Linked DNA regions of Nothobranchius furzeri. The protein of the gene in region 3 purifies or fractionates together with the protein of the main gene of each other region. This does not show direct contact. Links are inferred from orthologs where the notes say so. Each region holds a gene or a part of one and is shown on either strand. Other genes may lie near its edges. The genes, in order: heterogeneous nuclear ribonucleoprotein R, igf2bp3, hnrnpub, gtf2f1, rfc4, rps29 and heterogeneous nuclear ribonucleoprotein D0.

Evidence for each region.
Region 1: the proteins of hnrnpub (region 3) and heterogeneous nuclear ribonucleoprotein R purify together in Homo sapiens (affinity purification with mass spectrometry; 3 studies listed by BioGRID and IntAct, with this or other methods). This does not show direct contact. The link is inferred for Nothobranchius furzeri from reciprocal best matches to the Homo sapiens genes HNRNPU and HNRNPR.
Region 2: the proteins of hnrnpub (region 3) and igf2bp3 purify together in Homo sapiens (affinity purification with mass spectrometry; 3 studies listed by BioGRID and IntAct, with this or other methods). This does not show direct contact. The link is inferred for Nothobranchius furzeri from reciprocal best matches to the Homo sapiens genes HNRNPU and IGF2BP3.
Region 4: the proteins of hnrnpub (region 3) and gtf2f1 purify together in Homo sapiens (affinity purification with western blotting; 3 studies listed by BioGRID, with this or other methods). This does not show direct contact. The link is inferred for Nothobranchius furzeri from reciprocal best matches to the Homo sapiens genes HNRNPU and GTF2F1.
Region 5: the proteins of hnrnpub (region 3) and rfc4 fractionate together in Homo sapiens (co-fractionation; 3 studies listed by BioGRID and IntAct, with this or other methods). This does not show direct contact. The link is inferred for Nothobranchius furzeri from reciprocal best matches to the Homo sapiens genes HNRNPU and RFC4.
Region 6: the proteins of hnrnpub (region 3) and rps29 fractionate together in Homo sapiens (co-fractionation; 3 studies listed by BioGRID and IntAct, with this or other methods). This does not show direct contact. The link is inferred for Nothobranchius furzeri from reciprocal best matches to the Homo sapiens genes HNRNPU and RPS29.
Region 7: the proteins of hnrnpub (region 3) and heterogeneous nuclear ribonucleoprotein D0 purify together in Homo sapiens (affinity purification with mass spectrometry; 4 studies listed by BioGRID and IntAct, with this or other methods). This does not show direct contact. The link is inferred for Nothobranchius furzeri from reciprocal best matches to the Homo sapiens genes HNRNPU and HNRNPD.

Annotation. Positions count from the first base shown.
Region 1 is NC_091759.1:6,948,558-6,952,584, forward strand, and holds the end of heterogeneous nuclear ribonucleoprotein R, read right to left. Parts: coding exon 3,921-4,027; intron 3,252-3,920; coding exon 3,116-3,251; intron 3,037-3,115; coding exon 2,831-3,036; intron 2,335-2,830; coding exon 2,185-2,334; intron 2,101-2,184; coding exon 1,979-2,100; intron 1,907-1,978; coding exon 1,300-1,906; 3' UTR 501-1,299; downstream 1-500. UniProt on the Homo sapiens protein: Component of ribonucleosomes, which are complexes of at least 20 other different heterogeneous nuclear ribonucleoproteins (hnRNP). hnRNP play an important role in processing of precursor mRNA in the nucleus.
Region 2 is NC_091751.1:26,468,166-26,471,665, forward strand, and holds part of igf2bp3 (insulin-like growth factor 2 mRNA-binding protein 3), read right to left. Parts: intron 3,418-3,500; coding exon 3,366-3,417; intron 3,100-3,365; coding exon 3,036-3,099; intron 2,731-3,035; coding exon 2,452-2,730; intron 2,353-2,451; coding exon 2,218-2,352; intron 1,354-2,217; coding exon 1,231-1,353; intron 1,125-1,230; coding exon 989-1,124; intron 904-988; coding exon 775-903; intron 654-774; coding exon 585-653; intron 1-584. UniProt on the Homo sapiens protein: RNA-binding factor that may recruit target transcripts to cytoplasmic protein-RNA complexes (mRNPs). This transcript 'caging' into mRNPs allows mRNA transport and transient storage.
Region 3 is NC_091742.1:29,998,752-30,002,754, forward strand, and holds the start of hnrnpub (heterogeneous nuclear ribonucleoprotein Ub), read right to left. Parts: upstream 2,801-4,003; 5' UTR 2,662-2,800; coding exon 2,235-2,661; intron 397-2,234; coding exon 282-396; intron 1-281. UniProt on the Homo sapiens protein: DNA- and RNA-binding protein involved in several cellular processes such as nuclear chromatin organization, telomere-length regulation, transcription, mRNA alternative splicing and stability, Xist-mediated transcriptional silencing and mitotic cell progression.
Region 4 is NC_091752.1:52,158,895-52,162,698, forward strand, and holds the end of gtf2f1 (general transcription factor IIF subunit 1), read right to left. Parts: intron 3,468-3,804; coding exon 3,412-3,467; intron 3,335-3,411; coding exon 3,203-3,334; intron 2,548-3,202; coding exon 2,477-2,547; intron 1,430-2,476; coding exon 1,288-1,429; intron 1,157-1,287; coding exon 1,024-1,156; intron 908-1,023; coding exon 703-907; 3' UTR 501-702; downstream 1-500. UniProt on the Homo sapiens protein: TFIIF is a general transcription initiation factor that binds to RNA polymerase II and helps to recruit it to the initiation complex in collaboration with TFIIB. It promotes transcription elongation.
Region 5 is NC_091756.1:57,709,074-57,712,484, reverse strand, and holds the end of rfc4 (replication factor C subunit 4), read right to left. Parts: intron 3,118-3,411; coding exon 2,974-3,117; intron 2,900-2,973; coding exon 2,779-2,899; intron 2,233-2,778; coding exon 2,107-2,232; intron 1,966-2,106; coding exon 1,885-1,965; intron 1,768-1,884; coding exon 1,654-1,767; intron 753-1,653; coding exon 660-752; 3' UTR 501-659; downstream 1-500. UniProt on the Homo sapiens protein: Subunit of the replication factor C (RFC) complex which acts during elongation of primed DNA templates by DNA polymerases delta and epsilon, and is necessary for ATP-dependent loading of proliferating cell nuclear antigen (PCNA) onto primed DNA.
Region 6 is NC_091742.1:24,519,075-24,522,022, reverse strand, and holds rps29 (small ribosomal subunit protein uS14), read left to right. Parts: upstream 1-1,411; 5' UTR 1,412-1,447; coding exon 1,448-1,560; intron 1,561-1,951; coding exon 1,952-2,051; intron 2,052-2,331; coding exon 2,332-2,340; 3' UTR 2,341-2,448; downstream 2,449-2,948. UniProt on the Homo sapiens protein: Component of the small ribosomal subunit. The ribosome is a large ribonucleoprotein complex responsible for the synthesis of proteins in the cell.
Region 7 is NC_091746.1:62,885,467-62,888,966, forward strand, and holds part of heterogeneous nuclear ribonucleoprotein D0, read right to left. Parts: intron 2,454-3,500; coding exon 2,285-2,453; intron 487-2,284; coding exon 325-486; intron 208-324; coding exon 76-207; intron 1-75. UniProt on the Homo sapiens protein: Binds with high affinity to RNA molecules that contain AU-rich elements (AREs) found within the 3'-UTR of many proto-oncogenes and cytokine mRNAs.

The DNA.
Region 1 (4,027 bases), on a different chromosome or scaffold from region 3:
TACGAATCCAATGGAAAGGCCAGGTGAGTGTGTCAACTTATTAGGGTTGAAGTGACAACTCACTATTTTCCAAACTTGTTCTTACTTTTAAAATTTTAGTGAAAGCTTTAATAGATGTCAGCCAATCTCCAACTACATCCACGTGAAAACAGTGTTGTGAATTTTGTATTAAATATAAAGTACACTGAGTATTTTCCTAGTGGCTGAAGACATTTACTGAAGGAGCATTAGCTCTACTGAAATGGGAACAACCTATGAGAATGGTAGCGGTCACCTTTACAGGATGAGTGTTCTTGTAAGGGGATCACAGCCATTTGGGCGAAACACTGAAGAATAAAGGGTTCAAATCCAACTCGACAAGCAGAACTCTCTAGTTCTTTAGTCTTTTGCACTGCTGACAAAATTTGACAAAAAAGATCTTCCGAATGTGACAATTGGAGGTTATGGATCAAATCAAGTAGTGAAGGACAAACACTGAATTTGAGTATTTGACAATTGACTGATGCTCAGCTGAGTTTTATTGAAACTGAACAAAACGGAAAAGTTATAAATACAAATAACATCAGAGAACAAACTGCTATGGCTCTTAAGGTCAGCCAAACCAAATTCTACCGGGCAAGTTTAATGAAAACAAGGAAGTTATGGTATCAGTTAAAAAAACAAATAAACACAATTCGTCTATCTCTAGAAATGCTATGCATACACTTCGAACAATACAAAACTTTGATTTCTTCCTTCTTGTGGATTCTTTTCTCCACCCTCGCAAAAAATGATGTATGAAGCTATAACGATATGCATTTATTTACAAGCAAATCCCTAAGCAACTACAAGAAACCACAAATTAAGGGAGTACAAGAATGGGGAGGGGGACATGGACAAAAAACTTAAGGACATATGCATTTTTTGACGTCCTCTCAGATATTTTAAAACGAATGTCCACTTTTTTTTGTTAACGTTCTTTGTTGGTTTTAAAAAAAACAGGAACAAAAAGTAACAATAAAAGCGTAAATTTTTTGCAATTTTTGTAAAGACACGTCCAAATGAGACTGTAGCAGGAAGAAATGATTCACCTCAAGGGGTACGTTCATTTCTTCAGCCAAAAACATTTCCAGCCAATCATCTTGAGCCAATTCTGCAGTGTGTCCATTTTTTCTGAGATACGTACAGATCTTTTTTTTTCACACGTGATGAAGAATAAAAAGTCAATCAAAAATTGTGGCCAATCTCCTGATTTTTTTTTTCTTTTTATTGTTGTTTTCCTCTTTTTTTGTTGTCGTTGCCAAATACCTTTTGGTGCATCTACTTCCACTGTTGCCCATAAGAATCCTGTGAAAACTCCATGGTGTCATTACTGTAACCATAGTTACCGGAATAGTCGGCCCCCTGCTGCAAGGGCTGCTGGGCGATGGGCTGGGACCCCCAGTTCTGCTGGTTGTTGGTCTGGCGGCGCTTGGAGTCGGGCTGGGTAAACACATCTGCCTTCCTCTTTCCGCCAACGTTCCCGCCACGATTACCCCTGGCACCGCGAGGACCACGGCCCCTCTGAGGTTGGAAAGGGGTTCCACGTCCTCCTCGAGCGCCACGTGGACCTCCAAGGGGTGGCCCCCTTTGTGCAAAGCCACCCCGACCTCGTGCTGTTGGAGCCCCGCGAGCCCTAGGTGGTGGAGGTCCACCCCTGCTGGGGCGAGTACCACGACTCCTCATGCTGTACACATCTTCATAGCCGTAGTAAGGGTCCTCATAGCCACCGCGGTAGTCGTGATAATCGTAGCCATAGTAATCGTCATAGTAATCGTCATAGCCATAGTAATCAGGTGGATAGGCATAGCCTCCCCGGCCACCACGACCCCTTCCTCTGCCTAGTGATGGCATGCGTGGAGGTGGGTAGTAGTAGTAGTCATCATACCTGCAGGATGAAAATTTCATGAATATGTTGTTCTGGGCAACTGACCAACCACATGTTTCCATTTAGGCTCACCCGCCACTCCTGGTGGTCTGCCGAGCTGCTTGGCGCTCTTTCCTTTTCTTGTCTGGGGGCTTTGCCAAAACAATCTCAATTACCTCACCTCCAAGCTCCTTCCCATTCATCTCATCCATAGCCTGTCAAAGAGCAAACCATCACTGTCAAGTACCGAGAAACATGACGCACTAGTATTACGCTGATTATTTCATAAAAAAACCCACCTTTACAGCAGCATCCCTATCTTCAAAATGGACAAAAGCATAGTCTTTCAACTTTTTCACCCGTTCCAGCTTCCCAAACTGGGAGAAGGTTTTCTCCAGAAGTTCTTCAGTCACAGCTGTAGCCAGCTTCCTGACAAAAAGCACTTTTACCTAAGATCACAGAAAACAATTTAGTCTTTTATTTAGGAACATAAGAAAATATCGAAACAGCAATATATTGCTATATTATTTCCTGCAATATTACATCGATATTCAAAAGCCGTGTATGAAGTTTCTGGAAGAATTTGCATGCAAACATTTGTTTACTTTCTTTTCTTTTGGTGCAATTCAAATGCTGACCACTAGCCAGCAGCAGTGTGCAATGGGTTTTGTTGCCACCTCTGAAATTTAAATCCCTCTACTATGGTTCAGATACCTCATGTTAAACATGTTACGTATCAGTTTGGACTGTTTATTGAATTTTCCTACAATAAATTCAATCTAAAAAACTTGCTAATAATGTCTGGCCGAATGTATCACAATACATCGTATTGTCTACCCTGTATTGTGATTCGTATCGTATCGCCAGATTTTCATCGATACACATCCCTATTTTTAACGCTGGGAGCTGGGGAATGATTTTCTGAAGAAAACATGGACTACTGACCTTGGCCATGACTTCTGGGTCTGGTTCAGCAACAGGGTCAGCCCACTCCACTGTCACAGGGTTGCCCCACACTTTGACCTTCCCACTCATTAGGCGGCGACGTGCCTGTGCTGCAGACTTGTGATCCTCGTACTCCAGAAAACAGAAACCGCGGTTTTTCTTCTTGTCATCTGGCTGGTGATACAGTATCACATCCTGCAGACCCTCTGTGGGGTGAAAAAAAACAAGCCTTCCAGTATTGTCAAGATTGGTTTGATAAAATCTATAACTGCACTCAAAACAAACCTGTCACTTTCCCAAAGTCCTCCAGTATACTTTCCCGTGTCTTGTTCTTGGGAATGGATCCAACAAACAAGCGATTGTTTGCAACAGATATACAAACTCCCAAGTACTTGCCAGGGCGAATTTCATGGTTATCACACTGAAAACAAATAAGAAAGGTAAAAAAAATTTCACACAACAGACACGGAATTTCTTATAAAACACAATTATCCATCTTTTGCTATGGGCTTACATGTATCTTTAATAAAGTGAACTAGCTACTATCTTAAAGGGGAACTAGGCAGTTTTGCTGGCTTTTAGCACCCCCCAGTGTTCGTTTGTCGAACCGAAAGCAAAACCTATTTCCTCGCTGTGCATTTGTCTTTTTAACACCTTAATCGAAATGTTGAAATGTCTCCTCATCCTTCATTAGTGTCTACAGGAGTGACTCATCACTAAACTTAACAAATCGGCTGTGTTCATGATCTAAAACATGCAGGAAATGTGCTGGAACCAGACTGCAGTGCCAGGTATTTCAGCTACATTTTTTAAAATCCCAACAGAGCAGCCCACGAATCAGAAGTTGAAAGTGGAATATTTTGGTCACAATAGGAGCTGAGTGGCCTTTCATTAATTCAATTCAATAATACTTTATTAACCCCAGAGGGAAATTAGAGCCTGTAAAAGGTCATTTTAGCACATACTGGCTCATGAAAATTATTTTAAAACTACGAAAAAGTTGCAAAGTATCCCTTTATATAAATGTTCTTGTGTTATTAGGAACTGAAATTTGACTAGTGTTTTTTTTGTATTATAGAGTAAGACTTACTAGCTTCACAGCCTTTTGTGCGTCATCTTTATTGCAGTATGTGATGAAAGCATAACCTCTGTTCTGACCAGACAGGGGGTCCATCATTAACCTGAGGTCCCAGATGG
Region 2 (3,500 bases), on a different chromosome or scaffold from region 3:
TCACGGGGAAATAAAACATTCATATTTGTAGTTTTTCTGCGAGGTTTTCTTCTAGCTTCTCCGTGTCTAGATATGATCAGCTCCATTTTTAAGGACACAATGGCGGTGCTGTTGACGAAAGTGACGACCTGACCAATCGCAAGCTTGCGTTGGTCTTGTTCGACCGATGTTTAGAAAAGTGAGCTCCACTCCGTCCATCCTTGCGAGCCTGCTGTAAAGCCCTCACAGGGACAAATAATGGCGTTGTGCGTCTCTACGCTCCTGCGTTTGCGTCAAACTACAGCAGGGCTGTTAACGACTGTTGCAAGTCCACTTTCTACCTAGGAGGGAGGAGTGGAAAGTCTGCTTATCGTTGCTTTAATAGACTCATATGCCCAAAGGAACTGAATTGGTAAAAACAAGTAGCTAGCTTGCTAAGATAAACGTCCTTCAGAGCCTACACACCTCCATCCATCTGAACAGATACATGACAACCTGCATGAACCTTCAGGAGGCATCTAGAGAAACCTGCAGCCAACCCTAAGCCCTAATCCTGCAGCAAGCAGCCACAAGCCGTGCAAAGCGCTTCAGGATGGGTGACTTACAGCAAGGGGCTGGCTGCTCTCCGACAGCACAGAAGCCCAAAACGGCCCCTCGGCCCCATAAGGACTGCACTAGAGGAAAAAGGACACGTGAAACCCAGTCGCTCTGGACTTCTCGTTTTAACCAGACATACCCAAAAATGTACGAGTTTCTCAATCCACTTAATAGAAAACACAACCAAGTCTTACTTACACCAAACGAACATCCGCCAAGCGCTCCAGGGGGCGGGACATTGGACATTGAAGGACCCATGCCTGGTGCTCCGCTGGGGAACAAACCCAACGCATTCAAATTCAAGCCTGGAATGAGGTTGGACTGGAGCTGCAGAGAAATTCAGACGCATCGATAAGCATGCAGGTTAAGATGGAGGAGTTCTCGCCTCTGCAAAGAAAACAGGAATTCTCACGTTCATAGCAGCCATGTCGCTCTCGTACGACTCCCGGATTTTCTTCATCACCTCCTGCTCTGCACTTGAGCACGCCTCGATGGAGCCCTTTATTGTGATAGTCCGCTCTGGGTTGTAGAGGGTGAGATCCTGCAACCTGGACACAAGCCATCAGAGCAGAGATGTGCCGTTTTAGCCGCTTCACTTACAACTTTGCTGCATATGATGCAGAGAAAGGCGGCATCAACAGCCTGGCGTCTCACGGTGAGATGGTGATCTTGGTCCCCGTGTCCTGCTCGATTTTCTTCAGGTTGCGTCCTTCTTTTCCAATTAATCTTCCTACAAAGTTGTTGTGTGCGAGGATCTTCAGTGGAATCTCCTCAGTGCTGCACGACAAGAGCAGTGTAACAAACCATCAAACACTCAACACTGGGATCAAATCTATTCATCTAAGAAGGAAACACCACCCGAGCACAGAGAGAACAAATGAAGTTTAAGGCCTAGTCCACACGTAGCCGGGTTTTTTTGAAAACGAATAACCGCCCCTCCAAAAACTTGAATCCACATCACCGCGTTTTAAAACAAACTCTGTCCACACGTACCCGGATAAATACGTTGTTAAGGACATGCCAGACCTGTAGGCGGCAGTACTTCCCCCGTTCTTAACCTCGTCCTTCGTCTGGGGTCTTCCGCAAGGAGCAGTAATTCCGCTTGCAAAAACAAACAAGCAGAAAACGCTTGGACAATTGATAAAGCGAGCGCAGCTCTGAGGGCATCCATGCTGTCGGCTAGTGTAAACACAGGTCGCGCACGTGATGTCAGCACTTTTTTCGTCGCGGAAAGTGACGTTGCGGACCTTAAAACTCCGGTTTTGTCCGTCCACACGCAGACACCCAAAACAGAGAAAACGCAGATCTTCACTTTGGCCGGAGTTTTTAAAAAGATCCGTTTTCGTGTGAAAAAATTCCGTTTTCGTGTGGATGACAGGCCAAAACGTAGAAAAATATCTACGTTTTGGCAGATCCCCGGCTACGTGTGGACAGGGCCTAAGTGTCTGAGTTACTTTGTCCTTCTAGTTAAAAATTAGCCGTTTTTAGGAGCCCAAAATCTGTTTTAGTGGTGGCTCTCACGCTCCCTTCAGGAATCTTTAACCCTTCCAAGCCATCATGTTCTACAGCTCCGTTCACAACCTCCAGTCACGATGCTCACATCTAATCTTTGTGTTGAAACAAGCCGCTCACTGAACTCACAACTTTGTGTCGAGGGCTTCCTTCTGCATGATCTCCATGATGGTCGTGCAAGCGTTTGAGCAGCCTTCTGGGGTGGAGTGGATTGTGATGGGCTTCTCCGCTGCACCTGCGTTCTCCTTCCTATGGATGTCGATCCTGGTGTAAAGAACCGGACGACCAGTCAGCACGTTCCAACATGAACAGTAAAAGCGATTTTCTGAATGTGCAGTTATGTCCTGACCTCCGTGTACGTACTTTGAGTGGGTCTGCTTGGTGATGTTGCGGATAGTGGCGCCCTCCTTGCCGATGATCGCCCCTACAAACTGCGTGGGGACCAGCATGCGCAGCGGGATGTCTGACTGGACTTTGGGCCGTGCTCCCAGACCAGGAGAACCTGAACGAGGAGGTCCACGAGAGTTGAAGGTCCTCCTGCCGCCCGCAGAAGGACCTTCTGGTGCAGCCGTTTCATCTGGGATATAAGACACTTTCAAGGCGAAGTTCTCCATCATGGATCCGTTCAGCTTCTCCATCGCACTGGGAACGCAAGACATTCCAGTTCTGTTTACTAGAGAACAGCTCAGTGACCTGAATGCAGCCTTTGACACAACTGCACTAGGAGACTAACGACCTGCACCAACTACACCGTGGTAGTTGGACTTCTGTACACCAGGGGGCACTACATGGTTAATTTAAACCCCTTCCTCTCCAGCAGGCTCATCCACAAACATGTGACCACTCTCCCCTATCTCCCCTCTGCTACAAGCTTCAACAACATGAAGGTAACTGGATGCAGTTCAATTCAAACAGTTTCAAAGACATCAGAGCAGACGTGTACTCACAGCCTCGCTTGGTCCTTGGTTGCATATCGAACACTGACAACGGCAGTTTCTGTATCAGTGTTTACTGTGAGAGAGAACACACACACGCACACACACACTTTGACAATACAGCCTCCTTTGTTTGATGGTTTAACTTTTTCCAACAGTGGCGATCAACAAACAGGCTAAAGGGTTTCCGGTGATGTTTTCAGGTTGACCATCTCAGACTCCATCCAGCATTAGTAACTCATCCAAGAAAAGGTGTGTAGATGCAGCCACTGGATTTGTGTCTTTTGTAAATATTAGTCAGAATGACCTCTTTTGCTCCTAGATGTAAAAACAAAAGTTTACCTTGTTCACAGCTCTCTACTGCACCGTACTGAGCAAGCATACCGTCCAGAACCTGCGGAAGAGAAGAGCCCTGATTGCATCACTGATTTTAATGGTTAGTTCTTCCTTTGGAAAGCCTTCAGATTATTTTGTCAT
Region 3 (4,003 bases):
GAACAGATATGAGATTGATAGATGCACTTCTGCTACAGAATGCAGTCGTTAAAGACACAATGTGAGTGTAAAAAGGTAAATGGTAAGGCTTTAGCTATTCAGGGATGACCCTCAAACACATGTGTGAAAGGTTATATCATAAATATATGATAGAATACTTCAAACGAGGCTTTACCTCTTGCTAGTTATGTGCATTGGCACTTAAAGCCAATACAGTTCAACAAAGCTTGGATGGCGCTTCAGGGATGCTGAAGGCCACCTCGGCTCTGTCCCATCCTTACCAGCTGTATTTGTTCTCTTCAATAAATTCAAAGTAGCCCCTTCCATGTTCCTCCCGGCGTCTCTTAACACCCTTCTTATTCTTCTGATCAGCATTCGTGTCTTTGTCCGCATCTCCTTTGAAAATAGAACAAAGATATAGAATGAGGTGCTCCTTTTTGAGAGAGAGAGAGGTCGGACTGGCAGTGGGGTTCTGGCCCACGAAGCCCGTTCATTATTTACATTGCGTCTAGCATGATTACCAAGAGGAAACACCTCATAGTTACATTTAAAACAGTACAATCATATTACATGACTTGTAACAACTGGTAAGACCAGGTAGTAATTACAGCATGAACTGGCCCAAATGAACAGCAGCAGCAGAGCTTGATGGGGCTGGAAAAGGGGTCGTGAAAGGGTAAGAACCCTTCAGATACAAGTCCTCTAGTCCTAGATGAGGGTCTACTGCATCAGGGGGAGTTAACCATGCAGGGAAACCTACCTAAAGCCCAATGACACCCCCCGCTAAAGAAAAGGATGATATGTAAATAAAAATGTATGTATACCCTTTAATATCACGCTTGTATTTCAAATCGAAAACACACGATGGACGTATCAGGAAAGTTGTAGGCCACTCCGTTCTTCTGCAAAGCGCTGGGTTAGCAAGTTCAGAGGTTCCCAAGCTCATAACCCAAACTAACACCCAAATACAGCTTCAGGTCTTTTACATCAGCCTGCTGAGGCTCTTCCTTCAAACATCTGCACCTCATAACCAGACCTGATGCTAGTGTTGGCTTTTGATCCGGCTAAACACGATTCTGGACTTCACTCGTCTACACTAGATAGAATCTTTAATAATTTAATCAATCACATACAGTCCAAGACTGGGACAATTTAGTTCTTATGGGCAACTCAAAGTGGTCCAGCCCAAAAACACGCAGACATCTGGACTAACAGTTTGAAGCTGACATGCACTGACCTGCGGAAGGAAACCATGGAAACCCACACATGCACGCGGAGAACAAGCTAACTCCATGCAGAAAGGCTGGAGCTGGGATGTGAACCTTGCTAAAAGCTAAAAGTGCTACCAAATGGAGTTTGTGAAACCGTTAATCATTCAGTAAGACTAAAGTGTTATTGATAACGGGACCACATCAGAACCAGTCATATGAAGCAAGGTGACAGACTCTGGTGCCTTGCTGATCTCTGGACCAGATCAGAAGCGGTCCTTGTAGAAAACTTCATCAGTAATGTGTGCCACTCCTAGTTGATCAGAGGTAGAAAATGTAACGCATGGGGGATTTAGACCACGTTTGGACCCACTCATTAAAAAAATCTAAAAACTAAAATTGTCTTCAGTAATTTGTGTTTTTGCGACTGGAGCACGTAAGAACTGATCCTGTTCTGAAAACAGAACACGTTTTAGTTTTTATATGTATTAAAGAATTACTTTAGCCCCCTCCCGCCTCGTCTACGTGCTGTAGTTCTGAACTAGAGCTGATCAAACGTAGTCCAGATGAAGCCTTGGCGAGAGGAAAACCGACTAAAGCGTGATGGGAACCTCTGAAATGGCTAACACGGCTAGCTAGCGCAGACCGATACAAAGGAAAAACGATGCTAACTAGCGTGCTACTATCAAGCGACACAAGAGAAAAATAACAAATTAATTTCTTAAGAATTATTTATAAGCATGTTCCTTAGTTAGTCCGTGTCAATTAACCTACTATCCGTTGGTAAACTGGGTTAGAGAATCGTACATTTAAATTATTGTAACCAAGGCGTTGGCTAATGCTAACTAGCCTGAATCACGCTGACTGACTCAACATGGACGCCATGATAAGCGGTAACAACCGGCTACCCCTCCCTTACGGAAAAGCATTCAAATCTACGCTACAGTTCCCACCTCCCCCCACAAAATGACACCCAGCCACGGTTCATCCAACAAATCATTTTCATAGCGTATTGTTTCTTCTCACCCTCAGTAGCGTGATCGCCGGGCTCACCATCTTCTGTGTCAATTTTCTCCATGTCGTCTACATCCTCCTTTAGCATGGGATCCATCTCGTCCTCCTCGTCACCTTCCTCTTCCCCCTCACCCATCTCCTCGTCCACCGACACACCGTTCCCGTCGCCGTCATTCGCCGGCTCTTCTCCCTCGTTGGCCTCCATGCTCTCCTCTACCGGGCCTTCTTCTTCCTCCCCCATACCCTCCTGGATGTCCGCGGCCTGCTCGTCCGTCGCCACATCCTGAGCGGCCGAGTCTCCAGCGAGGGCCTCCTCGTCCAGCGCGGCCTGCAAGCGGTCCATCAGATCGGCCTTCAGCCCCTTGTCTGATAGGTTTCGTTTCTTGAGCTCGTCTTTTAGCTCGTTTACTTTAAGCTTCTTCACGTTAATCGTGCTCATTGTGGACGTTTAACGACAAACTACTAAAATACGTCGACAAATAAACAATAACGTGCACTTTGTTAGTAGATGTTGCTCGAAACGACGCCAAACGTTACGCGCGATCCAACCTTTCACCAACGGAGAGGGAGCTGATGAGCCAGCCTCGGCGGCGGGAGGGGGAGCAGAGCGCTAACCACTACCGTAATGATCCTAAAAGCAGCACAGTCGAGCCAGAGCCACCACGGTATTAAAACTGGAACAAGAACAGGGCAGTGCAGAGATGAGAGACGGGTGCCCCAAGTTTAAACGGGGCACCTAAAACAAGACTGTCAAACCCCTTACATCATTTACAGATGACCAGGTAGACTAATAACAACTCATTATCAATAATCTATCTAATCACACCATCTGCTTCAAGCTGTGTTTTGTTGCCTCTACCTTTATTGCGCCTGTTGCTTGAACAAAGGGCAAAACATTCAGGCTCTAGATGTGGAAAGCTGGTAGGGACATAACCCAAAGAGACACCCCCCAAAGCCATTCAGCTGTAATTGCAGCAAAAGATGAGTCCACAAAGTATTTATGCAGGGGGCTGAATACAAATGCACAACACACTTTCATATTTTTATTTGCTTAAAATTTTTGAAAACCATGTTTCATTTCACACTTATGTGCTTTTTTATGTTGATCTAGCAAAGAAAATATCAATAAAAATATTGAAGTTTGTGGTCAAAATATGTAGAAGTTCAGAGGGTATGAATACCTTTGCAAGGCACCACGTATGTATGTATGTATGTATGTATGTATGTATGTATGTATGTATGTATGTATGTATGTATGTATGTACGTACGTACGTACGTATGTATGTATGTATGTATGTATGTATGTATGTATGTATGTACGCATGTATGTATGTATGTATGTATGTATGTACGTATGTATGTATGTACGCATGTATGTTTGTATGTATGTATGTACGTATGTATGTATGTATGTATGTATGTATGTATGTACGCACGTACGTATGTATGTTTGTATGTATGTATGTACGTATGTATGTATGTATGTTTGTATGTATGTATGTATGTACGCATGTATGTATGTATGTATGTACGTATGTATGTATGTACGCATGTATGTTTGTATGTATGTATGTACGTATGTATGTATGTACGCATGTATGTATGTATGTATGTATGTATGTATGTATGTATGTATGTATGTATGTATGTATGTATGTATGTATGTATGTATGTATGTATGCATGTATGTATGCATGCATGCATGCATGTATGTATGTATGTATGTATGTATGTATGTATGCATGTATGTATGTATGTACGCATGTATGTATGTATGCAT
Region 4 (3,804 bases), on a different chromosome or scaffold from region 3:
TTTAGAAACACATAAAAGTGATCGTCTTACCCGGTTGTATGATAATGTAGGTCATGTGTCAATTTTTAAGAGTCTGTAGAGCCTTGTGCGATTTGAAATGATGACTGCTCATTAGTCAATAGCATTAGGCATCCTCTTATATACAGATGTCACATCTGTACTTAACCTGCATCACTGAGCGTTTGCAGACTGATGCAGAGTTGGTAACATTTCTTGTGGGTGAGTATTTAAAATATAAAAATATGAATAAACAGCTTTACAGGAGAATAATCTTAGAAAAATGTGTTTTAGCTGTTGGTTGGCTAGAGGTGCGTGTTCACGAACATGGCGTGGGAGAGGGGCTTAAGATGCGATACATTTTTCCACCTCTAGATGGTGCTCTCTGAGAATTTCTGCTTTAATGTGCAGAGATGCTGAATGTGACAGAAGAGCAAGAGGAAATCACTTTTCAGGGTTTCAATTTCATTATAAAAGTTCCAACTCAAGAAAAACAAGCTAAAGATGTTTCCTTTCATTTTGAAAGAAGCTCTAAGATTTTTATTTCGACTCTTAAACTGTCACTCAGCAAAAGTTCAGACTAAACAAACTCAACATGTTGAACAGAATACGTTCAGAGCCGCTGGCGTTTCTGCACAGCTCAAGTCCTGCTGCATCAAACTTCCCTCCAGACCCCACCCCTCCTCTGCTGCACCACCCACCTGCTCACTCTGTAAGGTAGAAATGCATTTTGTCGTTGACATTTTTGCGCTCTGGATTGAGGCGCTTCAAAATCTGAGCCAGCACGTTGACCGTCTGCTCACTGCTCAGACCCGTCCGTTTAGTCTGGAACTTCTTCAGCAGGTCCTTCGTGGTCATCGGTTTACGGATCAGGTAGCGGCGGACCGCGTCCTCCGTTAGCTGGACGTCACTGTAGCGGGGGATAAATAAATAAAGTCAGGGTTTTTTAGCAGTTTGCAGAGTTTTAGATTTTGATTTAAGCCTAATAAACGGATTTATTTCTTTCTGTTTTCTGATGGTACTTACCTTGAGCTGGGGGTGGATTTGCCTGATGGGGGCTGGGGTGTGCTCTTCCCAGAGGGAACAGGACTCTGAGTGCTGGGCTCCATCTTTAGCCTTTTAGCAGCTGGGGAGTCTGCAGCAGCTCCCTGCCTCTTCCCTACAGGAGAGAGAGAGATTTAATTAAACACAAATCCTCCCTTAAGGATCAAAGAAAATAAATTATTCTCATCGTTGACATGGTATTTGTGACCGATTTCCGTATTTGTGCTAATCTACAGGCACACACACCTTGCTCCAGCTTGCTAGCAGCAGCCCGCAGAGTGTTGGAGGTGGAGGCGGAGTCGATTGATGGAGTTCCAGGACGACTTCCTGTCCTAGAGCTTCCTGCAGAGCCACGACCGCCTGCACGCTTAGGAGGAGTTCGCTTCTTCTGCAAAGAGCAATTTAAAAATAATAAAAATGAAAGCAAATATGCAGCAAAAAAAAGAAATATTCACAACTTCATTTAGACTCAAACACTCGACTTAAGTAGTAGGGGGTGGGAATCTATCAGCTCCTCGTGGTTCCATTATGACCCAGATTTATGTCCCGTCTTACACCGGTTTCACACTGAAAGCATCAGAGGCGCGGAACGTCACTGCTTCAAATAAAATCTTTTGTCTATGGAGTGTTTGAAACCAGCCACGATGCGACAATTTTCAGGAGCGTCCCAGAAGCGGCACGCTGCGCCGCTAAAGATTGGTTTCTATTTTTGCCACGAGCCGCTTCTGGGATGCGTCAATTCCCGCAGTGAACATAAGGCTAGACAGGAAATCACACATGGTTTCAGTGTAAAATCCCGGGTAATTTTCAAAATAAAAGTACTGAAACGATGCAATGTCATATATATGAAGCTTACGTGTGACCCAACGTCTTATTTACTCCCAGTATCGTTCCAGAAGTGCAGCGGTGTGTTTTCATGGCTTTAATCCTGACTATGGAGAGAAAAACATCATATATGACATCAAACAGCGATATCAAATGTGATTTTTTTCTTTTTGGTTTAATGGCAGATTGCATAAACAAACCGTGATCTTTGAAATCTCGAGAGATTTTGTGATCCCGCGAGTCCAGCGAGGAGCACAGGAAGGAAGACGTACCACGGCCAAGACTCTCCCCGTGTGAAGAGGACCGCATTGAAGTTTGCAAGTAAACCGTTTCGTGCTGCTGATGCTTCTAGTGTTAAACTGGGGTTATATGTTCCTACCCGCTCTTATTATTACAATTAACATCATTTTTTACATTTTAAAATGCAGTCAGAATCTTTGTCTCGATCGCGATGCATAAAAAACAGGTTAAATTTCCCACCCCTAGGTCATAATGTGTCAATGAATGACTAACTGAGCTGTAATTTAAAGCAGAACTCTTTCCCACACACACACACACACACACACACACACACACACACACACACACACACACACACACACACACACACCATGAACAGAGCAGAGGCCGTCTCTCCCTCGATGTCGCTGTCATCGGAGCTGTCTGATTCGCCGCTGCTGTCTGTCACGAACAAAAAGAAATAATTGACCCCGGAACTCAGCCATCTTTAAAATCTAAACCCAAAAGAAATTGTAATTTGCTACAGCTCCTGTAAGTTTCTCCTGAGTCAGAACCTTGCACAGCACCTGCAAGCTGCCACTCTCCTCTCCAGCTCAGTTCCAGCCTCCACTTTCAGCACCAGGGAGAGCGACACGCTGCTGCAGGAATCTGCATCTAGACAGCTCAAGCCTTTAAAAGGGGGCACAGATCTTCTCCGTCATCCCCTTGGTTGTGGCTTGTCTGTTATTAGAATAACTCGTAGTATAGAGATCGCTTAGTTAATTGATGTCTTTAAGACAACAGTTTCTTTAGATTTAGTTCCCCTTCAGTGTTTAACCCAGTTTTCCACCAGTTCTGCTGTGCGTTTATCCAGCATGTGTGTTTAGTTAATGAGTTGAGATAGTTTTCTCCCAGTGGGTTAAATGTCACAATTAATATTGGATACAGGAGACTTGCTTTGTCTGTTATACTGCAGTGCCTCTTCTACTTTGAGTGAACCTTTGTTATAACAAACATCAAATTGTTGCTAAGACCTTGGTGCATTCCTTTTATTTTAATTTTCTGAGTTACTCCTTTCAGACAGGAGGGGTCGTAACATCACTCGTGAAGTTCATACCTTTCTTCTTCTTCTTTTCCACCTGAACAGGGGTTTTCTTCCCTTCCTCCTCCTCTTCCTCCTCCTTTGCTTCTTCTTCATTCTTCTTCTCCTCTTCGCTCTCTTCCTCGCTCTCTGATTCCTCATCGATTCCTGCAAACAGACAAATTACTTCAATGAGAAACAAACAAAACTCCTGCAGGAGAATACCAGTATCGTCTCACACCAACCTTTAGGATGCTCTTCCTCTCTGGTGGGTTTCTCGTTAACTTGGTCTTCATCTGGGCTGTTGGGAAAGAAAATAACACATGAACACACAACCATTTCTAAAAGAAAGACACACACACACACAAGCCTTGTTATCAAAATCAGTGCATCTCTAATGACACTGTGTCATAAATGATAGTTGTACCAGAAAATAGTGGAAGTTTGAGACTTTTCTCTACTTAAAGTGCATAAAGTAGCAACAGCATTCTGTGGTCACATGCGGGAACAGCATGTTTCATAACAAACATGTCCGCTCTGAACAGCTGTCGTCAGCCACGGATCAGCACCAGAAGATTCTAGATGAGGAGTTAAGACGAGTCGAATGCAGTAAGTTGATAAGTAGGTAAATACATTTA
Region 5 (3,411 bases), on a different chromosome or scaffold from region 3:
CCTGCAGGGCTGGACATCACATGCATCCATCCATCAGAGGCAGAGTCAACAGGAACTGGTTGAAGTGTTAAATCTGAAGGTCCATGAATACCCACCATTACTAGAAGGTGAAACTGCTGTGGCCGAGAAATAAGATCGACTAAATAGCTGAGCTCATTTTCTGTTCTGTTTATTCTTTCCACTCTTTTCAGCACTGAGGCACTTTTTCAGAGATGAAATGAGATCCGATACTGGGTAGTAAAATACGTTTGGCAGCAGTGAGTTCTCAGTAGTTTATGCACGACTCAAACCAAAGCATGACTCAAAAAGAGGAGACCGTCCTGAGCACGTCAGAGGCAAGTGTACACCTGTTTCCATTCAGGCATAAATGTTTGCGTCTCAACACAAAAAAAGTTTAGATTGGTTTAGAAGACTCTTTCTCCAGCTTTTCCCCTCACAGGCGGATGAAGGAAACATCTCCTGATGTTTGAAAACCAAGAAACTAACACCACAAACACACAAAAGATTACAAAATCCATTTATTACTTAGAAAAAATACACAAATAGTTCAACAATATGATGTTTTCTCAGGCAAGACTTCTATGAGGGAGGTGGGGGTGGTAGATGGTAACTATCAACAACATCCTTGAAAGGCAGATGCTGGTTCAGGCGGGGGGGCTTTAGCTTTGAGAAGCCTGCTGCATGATGACTGAACACAGACTCAACAACTGCAGGTACTCGTCTGCTCCATCTGCCAGGCACTTCCCTACGACCTGGAAGAGAGCACACACAGGCTTAAGCCGGGCGGACACTGTGCGGCTTTTTCACTTTTTTGAGCCGATTTTCCACTCGTGCGAGAATCCACGAGATCGGGGTGAGTTTTGCGCCGAGCGTCGTGTAGTGTACAGGGGGTTACGAGAGGCGATTAACACCACGTGACCAGCTGCCGATCAGCAATCGTGAGCTCGCACAAACTTCTGGCGTGTTTAATATTTCGCTCGTCCCTCGTGAGGGTATCGCACTGTTGAAGCGGCGCTGCGAGCAGCTGTGACCCAAAAAGTATCAGAACCGCTCACGGCGCATGCGCAATCATCCATCAACACTGCTCGCCCGCTATTTCCCTAATAACACACGCTGTTCGTTTTTATTTCTAGACGTAATTCACTCACAAAGATTGTCAAGAAAGCGTGTTTGTCGTGTTCATGTCAAATTAAACTGACCACAAAACACAGATTTACTTTCTTTATTTTGTTTTCCTCATCCAACCCCCATAAATGCCTGTGTGTCCTCCTGCAGCACTCCCGAAGGACAACAGGCAAAACAAGACAAAAAAGTCTAACGTGTTGAGTAAAAACTGCTATTTTTAGCATATTTTTAGGGCCGACGTGTTGCTACCAGACGTACAGTGTGAGCAGTCAGATCGCATGCGAGACCTGGGTCGTGCAGTGTGAGCACATGACTCGTGAGATCTGCCCTGCGAGGAAGTCGTACAGTTTGAGCTGAAGCTGAGAGCTACGAGTGAAAAAGACACACAGTGTACGCCCGGCTTTAGGAGGACTGCTGTAATAGAGGGCTTCTGCAAATGTCCAGCTACGAATCCACCACAGGCGCCCTAAGGTGCTAAGGTGTCTAAATGTTTTCATTCCTGCCATCTGCGGACATTAAAATACCTACCGCCATCTTCTCCATGATAGCCGACTTTTGCTTGTCATTAATGTCCTGCTCCAAGATGGCTTCATGGAGCTGGTTCAGGATCTGTGTGGCTGCATAGCCTTCATCCACCATGTTCTGTTAGTGAGGAGACATTAGACACAAGAGGCAGAGCAAGCACATCACTCACCACTGTAGCTCAGCAACAAACAAACTCATCCATCACAAATACGAAGGAAAAACAAAAACGTTTACCCTGACGGCAACTTCCAACCTCTCAAATGTTCCCTTTAAACAAATCTGGATCAAGTTGTCGATCATCTTGGACGGGACGACCTGTGAGAGAGCAGATAGGGTCATGTGAACACACAACACTAGTTTGTGCTCTCAAATGCAAAAGACATTTAAATTATCCTTAATGGAAAGGCTCATTATTGGTGCTTCTAATCTACTGAAATACAAAGTGCTGGAACCGACCCCTGCAATCTCAGTGATGGCACCATCGGTGATTTCCTTGTTGGCACTGAGACGTGCAGCACTCTGGAGAAAGGTGATGGCCTTCCGGAGGTCTCCTTCAGATAACTGCACCAAAGCTTTTATACTCTGAGAGAAACCAAAAAGCTTAAGTGAGAAGATGCGCACTGAGCCGTGGACAAACAAAAATCCACTAAATTTGACCAACTCCACTAATGGATTCTTAACTCATTCACTGCCATTTTTTTACTGTTTGTTCTCTCAGCGCGGGGGCTCGTTCTGATGCTCAAACATCTCAGCCCTGAAGCCGATCTTCATCCGCATACGTCACACGTCACATGATCAGGAAGCAGACCATCCATGTGTTAGGAGATCGTTTTGGGCCGTTCCTGTAAAAAAAGTGAGGCGCGAACCGGAAAAGCGTCTGCCGATCACAATTCGACAACGGATTATGAAAGAACGGATAACGCTCGAAACACACGGCTTCTTCCTGATGTAAGAGGTGAGTCTCCGCTTTGTTTTGGTTGTTTTGGCATCGACATCATGCTAGCGCGCAACGTTCTGTGACTCTTAAAAAAACTGTAAAAACGGTGAGAAACGCTGGCAGCGAAGGCCGTTAGCGATCAGGAAACGGCTGGCAGTGAGTGAGTGAAAGACCCACACTGTCACCTCTACCTCGCTGGTGTACTTGAGATTCTCTTTTTCACAAATCTCCAGTAGGCGCTTCTCTTGGATCTGATTGGCCAGTGGTTTAAAACGAAACTTGGAACATCTGGAGGTGAGAGGTTCAATAATCCTAAAAAAAACATACACACATCATTACCAGGGTCAAACAGAGAGCGTAGCCGAGCCTGCTGGGAGTCTGCGGACCTGCTTATATAGTTACAGATGAGGCAGAAGCGAGTGGTGCGAGACTCCTTCTCCATGGTCCTTCTGAGAGCAGCCTGAGCTGGAGCAGTCATGGAGTCAGCCTCATCCAGGATGATGATCTTGAAAGGAGGACATGGCTTCCCACTTAAATACAAGAAAATGTGTTTCAGGGTTTGGCATCAGACTAAATCTAACCTTATTAAAATGAAGAGCAACACCTGTACTTTATGTAATAATCACAATGAAGTCATGGTTTAAAAATACAATCAACTAGCCCATACCATCAGCCCTCTGCTACCATGCTGGTATGAGCAGTTTTCTCCATAAATGCACCTGTGCATTATGGGCAGGGATGGGTACCTTTGACATTTGAATCGATTCGGTACTAATTCCCGGTACCAACGAATCGATACCGGTACTTAACGGTACCATTTTTCG
Region 6 (2,948 bases), about 5.5 Mb from region 3:
TTCCAGCCAAACTCCAAGAATATGATAGAAATATTCATCAAGCTATATAAAAAATAATGAGCAGTGTCCTCAGAGTGTTTAAAATAGGAGAAATTCTGAAGCACAGGACATTATTGGGCACATTTTAGTCTAATAATTCTCCCTGTGCATGCGTGGGTTCTCTCCGGGTACTCCGGCTTCCTCCCACAGTCCAAAAAACATGACAGTTAGGTTAACTGGTCTGTCTAAATTGTCCTTGGGTGTGTGTGTGTGTGTGCATGATTGTTTGTCCTGTGTGTCTCTGTGTTGCCCTGTGATGGACTGACTCTCTGTCCAGGGTGTACCACGCCTCATTGCCCATTGACCGCTGGAGATAGGCACCAGCACCGTAACCCTAACTCTTTTTGAACCCAGATTGGTAAGGGTTTAGCAGACAGTTTTGTGAGAGGTATTCTGTGATCTGCTTGAAAGCCACCCTTTCAATGATTTTTGACAGAAAAGGGAGGAGAGAGATAGATCGGTTGTTCTCCACGTGATTTGGAGGAAGAGATAATTTTTTTTTAGCAGCGGTTTAACCTGAGCATGCTTGAGAGAGATGGGTAATGTACCGGATGTCAGTGAAGTGTTGATCACATGTGTGACTGCTGCGGCTACTGTAGGAGCAATAGCCTGGAGCAGCTTAGTCGGAATGGGGTCGAGTGGGCATGTAGTAGGGCGGCTGCACGTGAGAAGCTTGGACGCACAGTTCTCAATGAGAGGGGAAAAAGAGGAAAATGAAGCAGTCGGGCTTGAGATGGTTGGGCTAGAAGGAGTTTGTGGTAGCGAATGTTCAGGAGTGGCCAGTTGAGTAAACTGTTTGCTTATAGCTGCCACGTTGTCAGTGAAGAATGAGGCAAAGGTCTCAGCTGATAGATTTACTACTGCTACTACTACTACTACTACTTGCCTGTACTTTGCTAATATAACTCTACTTCTAAGATATGTGACTAAAACCAAGCCAGTTTACCAAACGTATAATATGCATCCTTAAAAATGAAGATACACCAGATTTTGCACATTTCAAAACAGTTAAAACCTCTTCTTTATAATAAATGGCATTTTAAATTGGCAATTAATATCTAAATAGAAATCACTTGACACGAGTCATAGTCAGAATTCTCTATTGAAAAAAAATAATAACCAAAAATGTAACTTCTCAAATCTGTATCCACCATTTGAATGCTGTGATATAAACAACTAACTAACTAACTAACTAACTAACTAACTAACTAACTAACTAACTAACTAACTAACTAACTAACTAACTAACTAACTAACTAACTAACTAACTAAAAGTCATTATGACACAAGTGAACGCTGCTGTATGGTTTTGTCGTTCAACGTAATACGCAGTTACTAATTTGACCAGTAGGGGCGCACCTAAAATAGTTCTTACCGGAAATTGAGCCTATGCAAACGTCATTTGCGCATGCGCGTACGTCTTTTCCTCCTTTCCGACACTCGAGCGAAAAGAGGCAAGATGGGCCATCAGCAGCTCTACTGGAGTCACCCTAGAAAGTTCGGCCAGGGATCCCGCTCCTGGTCAGTGTTACTCTTAACCCGTGGATGGTCGCGTGACGCGCTAATGCGAGTGATATTTGTGTGTTTGTTTATGTGTTCTTGTGCGAAAACGGGATCAAAGCTGCACCGCATGGGCTTTCATGGCGAAGCTAATATGGCGGCTTAGGATGAACCTCGCCGCCTCTATTCAGCAACATCATCTGTGTTGTTGGTTCGAAGCGTTTACAATAGTTTATTGTTTTTACTAGACTTTAATGCAAATGACAATGTTAAGACTAGATAAGTAAGTAAGCAATCATCATAAATGTAGCGTAATGTGTTGACCGTTAGCCGGGCTCGCTCTGCTTCCGGATGCTCCAGGTACCTTTTCCAATTTCATAGTCATCTAATCCGTATTCTTGTGTGATTTCAGCCGAGTGTGCTCAAATAGACACGGACTGATCCGTAAATACGGACTCAACATGTGCCGCCAGTGCTTCCGGCAATACGCCAAAGACATCGGCTTCATTAAGGTGAGATTCAGTTTTCACCTTAAAAGCGGAATTCTATTCCACATCACCCTCTACACATGTAAACAAGTGTTGCACAAGTAGTCCATGAAGAAACTGTTCTGTAGCTTCTGTCCAGATAAAAACCACGAGCAGCTGCTCAAGAACAAAATAAATTATAAAATTTCGTAGTAAAAAAAACCCAAATTGGAGTATAACTGTATGAGCAAATTATAATAATTATGATTGTTGTAAACTAATAATTACCTCTGCTCTAATTCTCTTTTTATTTGTTTTCCTACAGCTGGATTAAATGACTCGCATTGACATCCTCTGATCGGGTCATGGCGTCATTAGAAGGCTGACCAAGATGGGAAAAAATTAAACACTTCAAATAAATGTGTTGTTTTTTTTGTCCAGATCATCTGAGTTGTGTGGTTATTCACTGTGATTTTAAATGATGTCCACCATAAAACCTCACTACCTCACATTTTTTGGTTATTTTTAATGGCGTAGTCGGAGACCCGGGCTGGGATAGAAAGGTTTTAGCTGCTCGAAATTCAAAACTTTATTGTCTCAATGTTTGAATACAAGCTTATTTAAAATATGCAAAGTAAAAACACGTAGGAAAGTTTTATTATTTAACACCTCTATATACAAAATCAAGGTGAATCACAAGTACATGTAAAACATGAAAAATAATCATGTACATTAAGGTCCACATTTTTTCTGACAAAACTGTAAAAAGGCTTCCATTGAACAATCTTGAGGTCTGGACTTAATTTGGGCAAATGTCCTTTTAGTTCTGCATTGCAGCAAACCTTGGCATCAACAATATCCAACAGTTTTCTAATCAGTTTCTGGTTATTTTAATTGAACCTCATTTAAAGGCATTTCAGTTTCAATATAAAACACCTGATG
Region 7 (3,500 bases), on a different chromosome or scaffold from region 3:
AAACATTATTAATTTATTATGTCTTCATTAAGGTACAGTCATATAATGAAATCTGATTGGATGAAGTGATTGCACCTGGCTGAGTCCGATGTTGTGGTACTTCTTCTCCATAATCTTCTTCACTGGCTCCTCCTCTAGAAATGTGATGAAGCAGAAGCCTCTCCTTTTGTTAGTTTTGTTCTCCATGGGAAGTTCAATCAACTCCACCTGATTAAATCATAGTGAATGCATTCATGATATATTGGGTTTTATTTAAAAAGGAAAATGCAAGCAAAAGCTTAACGAATATAAAGTGAGGCGTGTGTGTGTGTGTATGTGTCACACCTCTCCAAAAGCACTGAAGTACTCTCTGACTTTGTCTTCATGAGTATCTGGAGACAGACCACCAACAAAGATCTTCGTCACAGGCTCCTTGGCCTTCATGGCTTTGGCTCTTTTGGGGTCGATCACCTTCCCGTTGAGCTTATGTTCCTTCTGTGATGCAACCTTCATGAGGACAAACGCCAACAATAAACCAGTTAAACGTAGAGTCAATCAACAGTTCTATGGATGGTTTGGCCTTTTGATCAAACAACTGTCAGGGTTCGTTTTTCGGGCTGCGAACATCAACAGAGACACCGTGGATATGAGGAGATAATAAAGGTCACACAGGTCAGGTCAGTGAAGGTGGTCCATCATCTGGGTAGGCTGTGATTTAATCCTAATTCAACCTACAGCCTCCTGCTGATGTTGTGATGAAATAGGATTTTTTATGTTTTATTATTTTCTGCATTGAACAGAATTTGATCCACTCTCCAACTTTTCTGAAATGAGACCGTTGGGTTCAAATAAAATAACAAACAAAGCCAAACATTTCCTTTGGTGTTATTTATTTCTTACGCCCTTGTACCTTGGCACAAACATGTGACTAAAGCAGCTCAAAGACATTAAAACCTAATATATGGATCCATTATGGATTTTATAACCTAAATTACAGACATGTCCAATTGGGTTTTTTGCATCTGCAGAGCATGCTTCTCCCACAGCCTGAGGCATGACTACTGAATGAGGAAACAGATTTTTTATCTTGTTATAAATGTTTTACCCTCTTACATTATCCTACAGTCTGCTGTGAACGAAGAGCTTTTGGGGGATGGTGTGTTGTGTCAGATTTTTTAAAAGCACATATCTGTCATCCTCTATTTATCAATGAAAGCAAACCCATATGAAATAATCGTTATGAATCAGGATATTGAATCTAATCGAGTCATGAGACTAGTGAAGATTCACGCCTCTATAAGTTTTATTTATTTTCCCTCAATCTAATTTTTAAAAAACTAATAATGAAATAAATTGAAGTTTTATTTTTTCTTTCAAAAAATGACAACAAATCTATTATATTTATTATCCTGGCAGCAACCCAACCTATATATGTGTAGTACCACGACCCATAGACAGAGCTCAGTCATAGGGCGGGATCTACAGTTGTCTTTCAAACGGCCTCTGCATGCTACTGGACAGTACTAGGACCAATAAGAGCAACGAACAATATAACATATTCATCGCTACTTAAATCAGTCTGCCATACACATAAGAAGCAAACACATGCTGTTTGTACCTCTATCTGCTCATGCCTCAAAGAGAAGCCCAAGTCTAATTTTCCAAAGTTCATGCCAAAGCCATTGAAAACAAGCGCAGATTATAAACCATTGCCATCTTCGTAGTTTTTCTCCACTGCAGCTCTTACATTAAGCCAAATGTTCGAGCCAACTGTAGACCTGCTGAGGCAACATGGAGCATGACTAGACCGACCTGCAGACCAAAATCTTTTGCTTCTACTACGGTTGGTCAACATTTCTAGGCTAGGTATTTACGAAAGAGGACAAAATACAATTTTTGACTTTACTCTCAGAAAAATTCTAATTTCCAATTTTAATCTCATAATTCCAATTTTTTCTCTCTGAATTCTAAGAAGAACGTTTTTTGTGACCCTAATTCTCTTCTGTAGACATCACTCAAGAATTATAAATGGTTTCTTCTCAAAAGGATCCTGTAACATTTGCAGCTCTAAACAAGTTTTATTAAGGTGGACTGAGGAGAAAAGTTCTTTGGATTGCAAAGGTTGCAAATGATCTAGAAGCACAGAAGCTTTCTGTTGGAAAATGGTTCATTTCTAGAAGGAGTGCCTCCTGCTGATGAATACGCTTGAGGCATGAAATAAAGGAGTATCATTCAATAAACTCTAGATTAACCTCCTGCTCCACACTTATTGTTTTGCAGCATTAAAATAAAAGAAGGACCGTACCTTTTCAACACTTTCCGGTTCTTTGAAAAGTACAAAGCCGAAACCCCTTGATCGACCAGTCATGGGGTCCAGTTTTAATGTGCAGTCAACAACCTCCCCAAACTTTGAGAAGTAATCCTTCAGGTCCTTTTTAGTGGTGTCCCAGCTGAGGCCTCCCACAAACATCTTCCTATTAATGAAACAAATGGGTCAGGAAATATAAAAATCAGTGTCTGTGAAGAGCAGCTTGCATTTTTCCCACCCCTCCATCTGCCATCTGGGGGTCAGCAGCCTAAGCAGAGAGGCCCACCCTTCCCTCTCCCCAGCCACTTGGGCCAGCTCCTTTAGGGGAATCCCAAGGTGTTCCTTGACCAGCTGAAAATGTAGTTCTTCCAACTGTGTCCTGGGTCATCCCTTTGGGTCTCCTCTAGGGTTGTCACGGTAACCGGTATAGCGGTAAACCCCGGTAAAAAAGTTGACAATAAAAATAACCGTCCAGTTTTTAAAAAACTAAATTATCTCGGTGGGTTTACCGTGGCCGCGGTTTCGGCGCGGTGACCCTTACCAGCCACCGTCGCTTCAGCTGAAGTTCCCGCGGCGCGCACACGCACTTTTTAGTTTGCAACGGCACCAAAACTTTGAAGCTGAAATAATGGCCGAAGGAGGAGACGGCAGCGCCCAGGACATCCATCAGCCCTCAAAGAAGACTAAATCGGAAGTATGGGCATATTTTGGATTTCTGAAAAATGCTGAGGGACAGTTAATAGAAGACGGCTATCCCGTTTGCAGAACGTGCAGGAAACAAGTGTCTGCAAAAGGCAGCAACACTTCGAATCTAATGGCACATCTGCGTGACCATCACCCACGTCTCTACAGCCAGTGCAAGGTAAGTTAACATTAGCATTTTAGCTCAAATGCATGACGTGAGGACTTTTGGCTGAGGGAGAATGCAACGAGTCACTATAGACTGCAGCCGCAGCGTCCTCTGCCAGCATTTAAACCGTGTCACGGACACCCTGTTGCTGGATGAAGCATCTTATTTGTTGATGATGAAGAGAAATATACAATTAGTTCCTTGTCAATTTGATTTGTTTACTTATTCAATGCCATTTATACTTGAACATTTGGATTTGATTACATAGTGTAGTAGTTATTTTAGTAATTTGTTTAAAGTGGCTATTTATTTCAAATACATATTTTTTAAGGTTGACTTGTACAGTGCTCAAGTCAAGTGTGG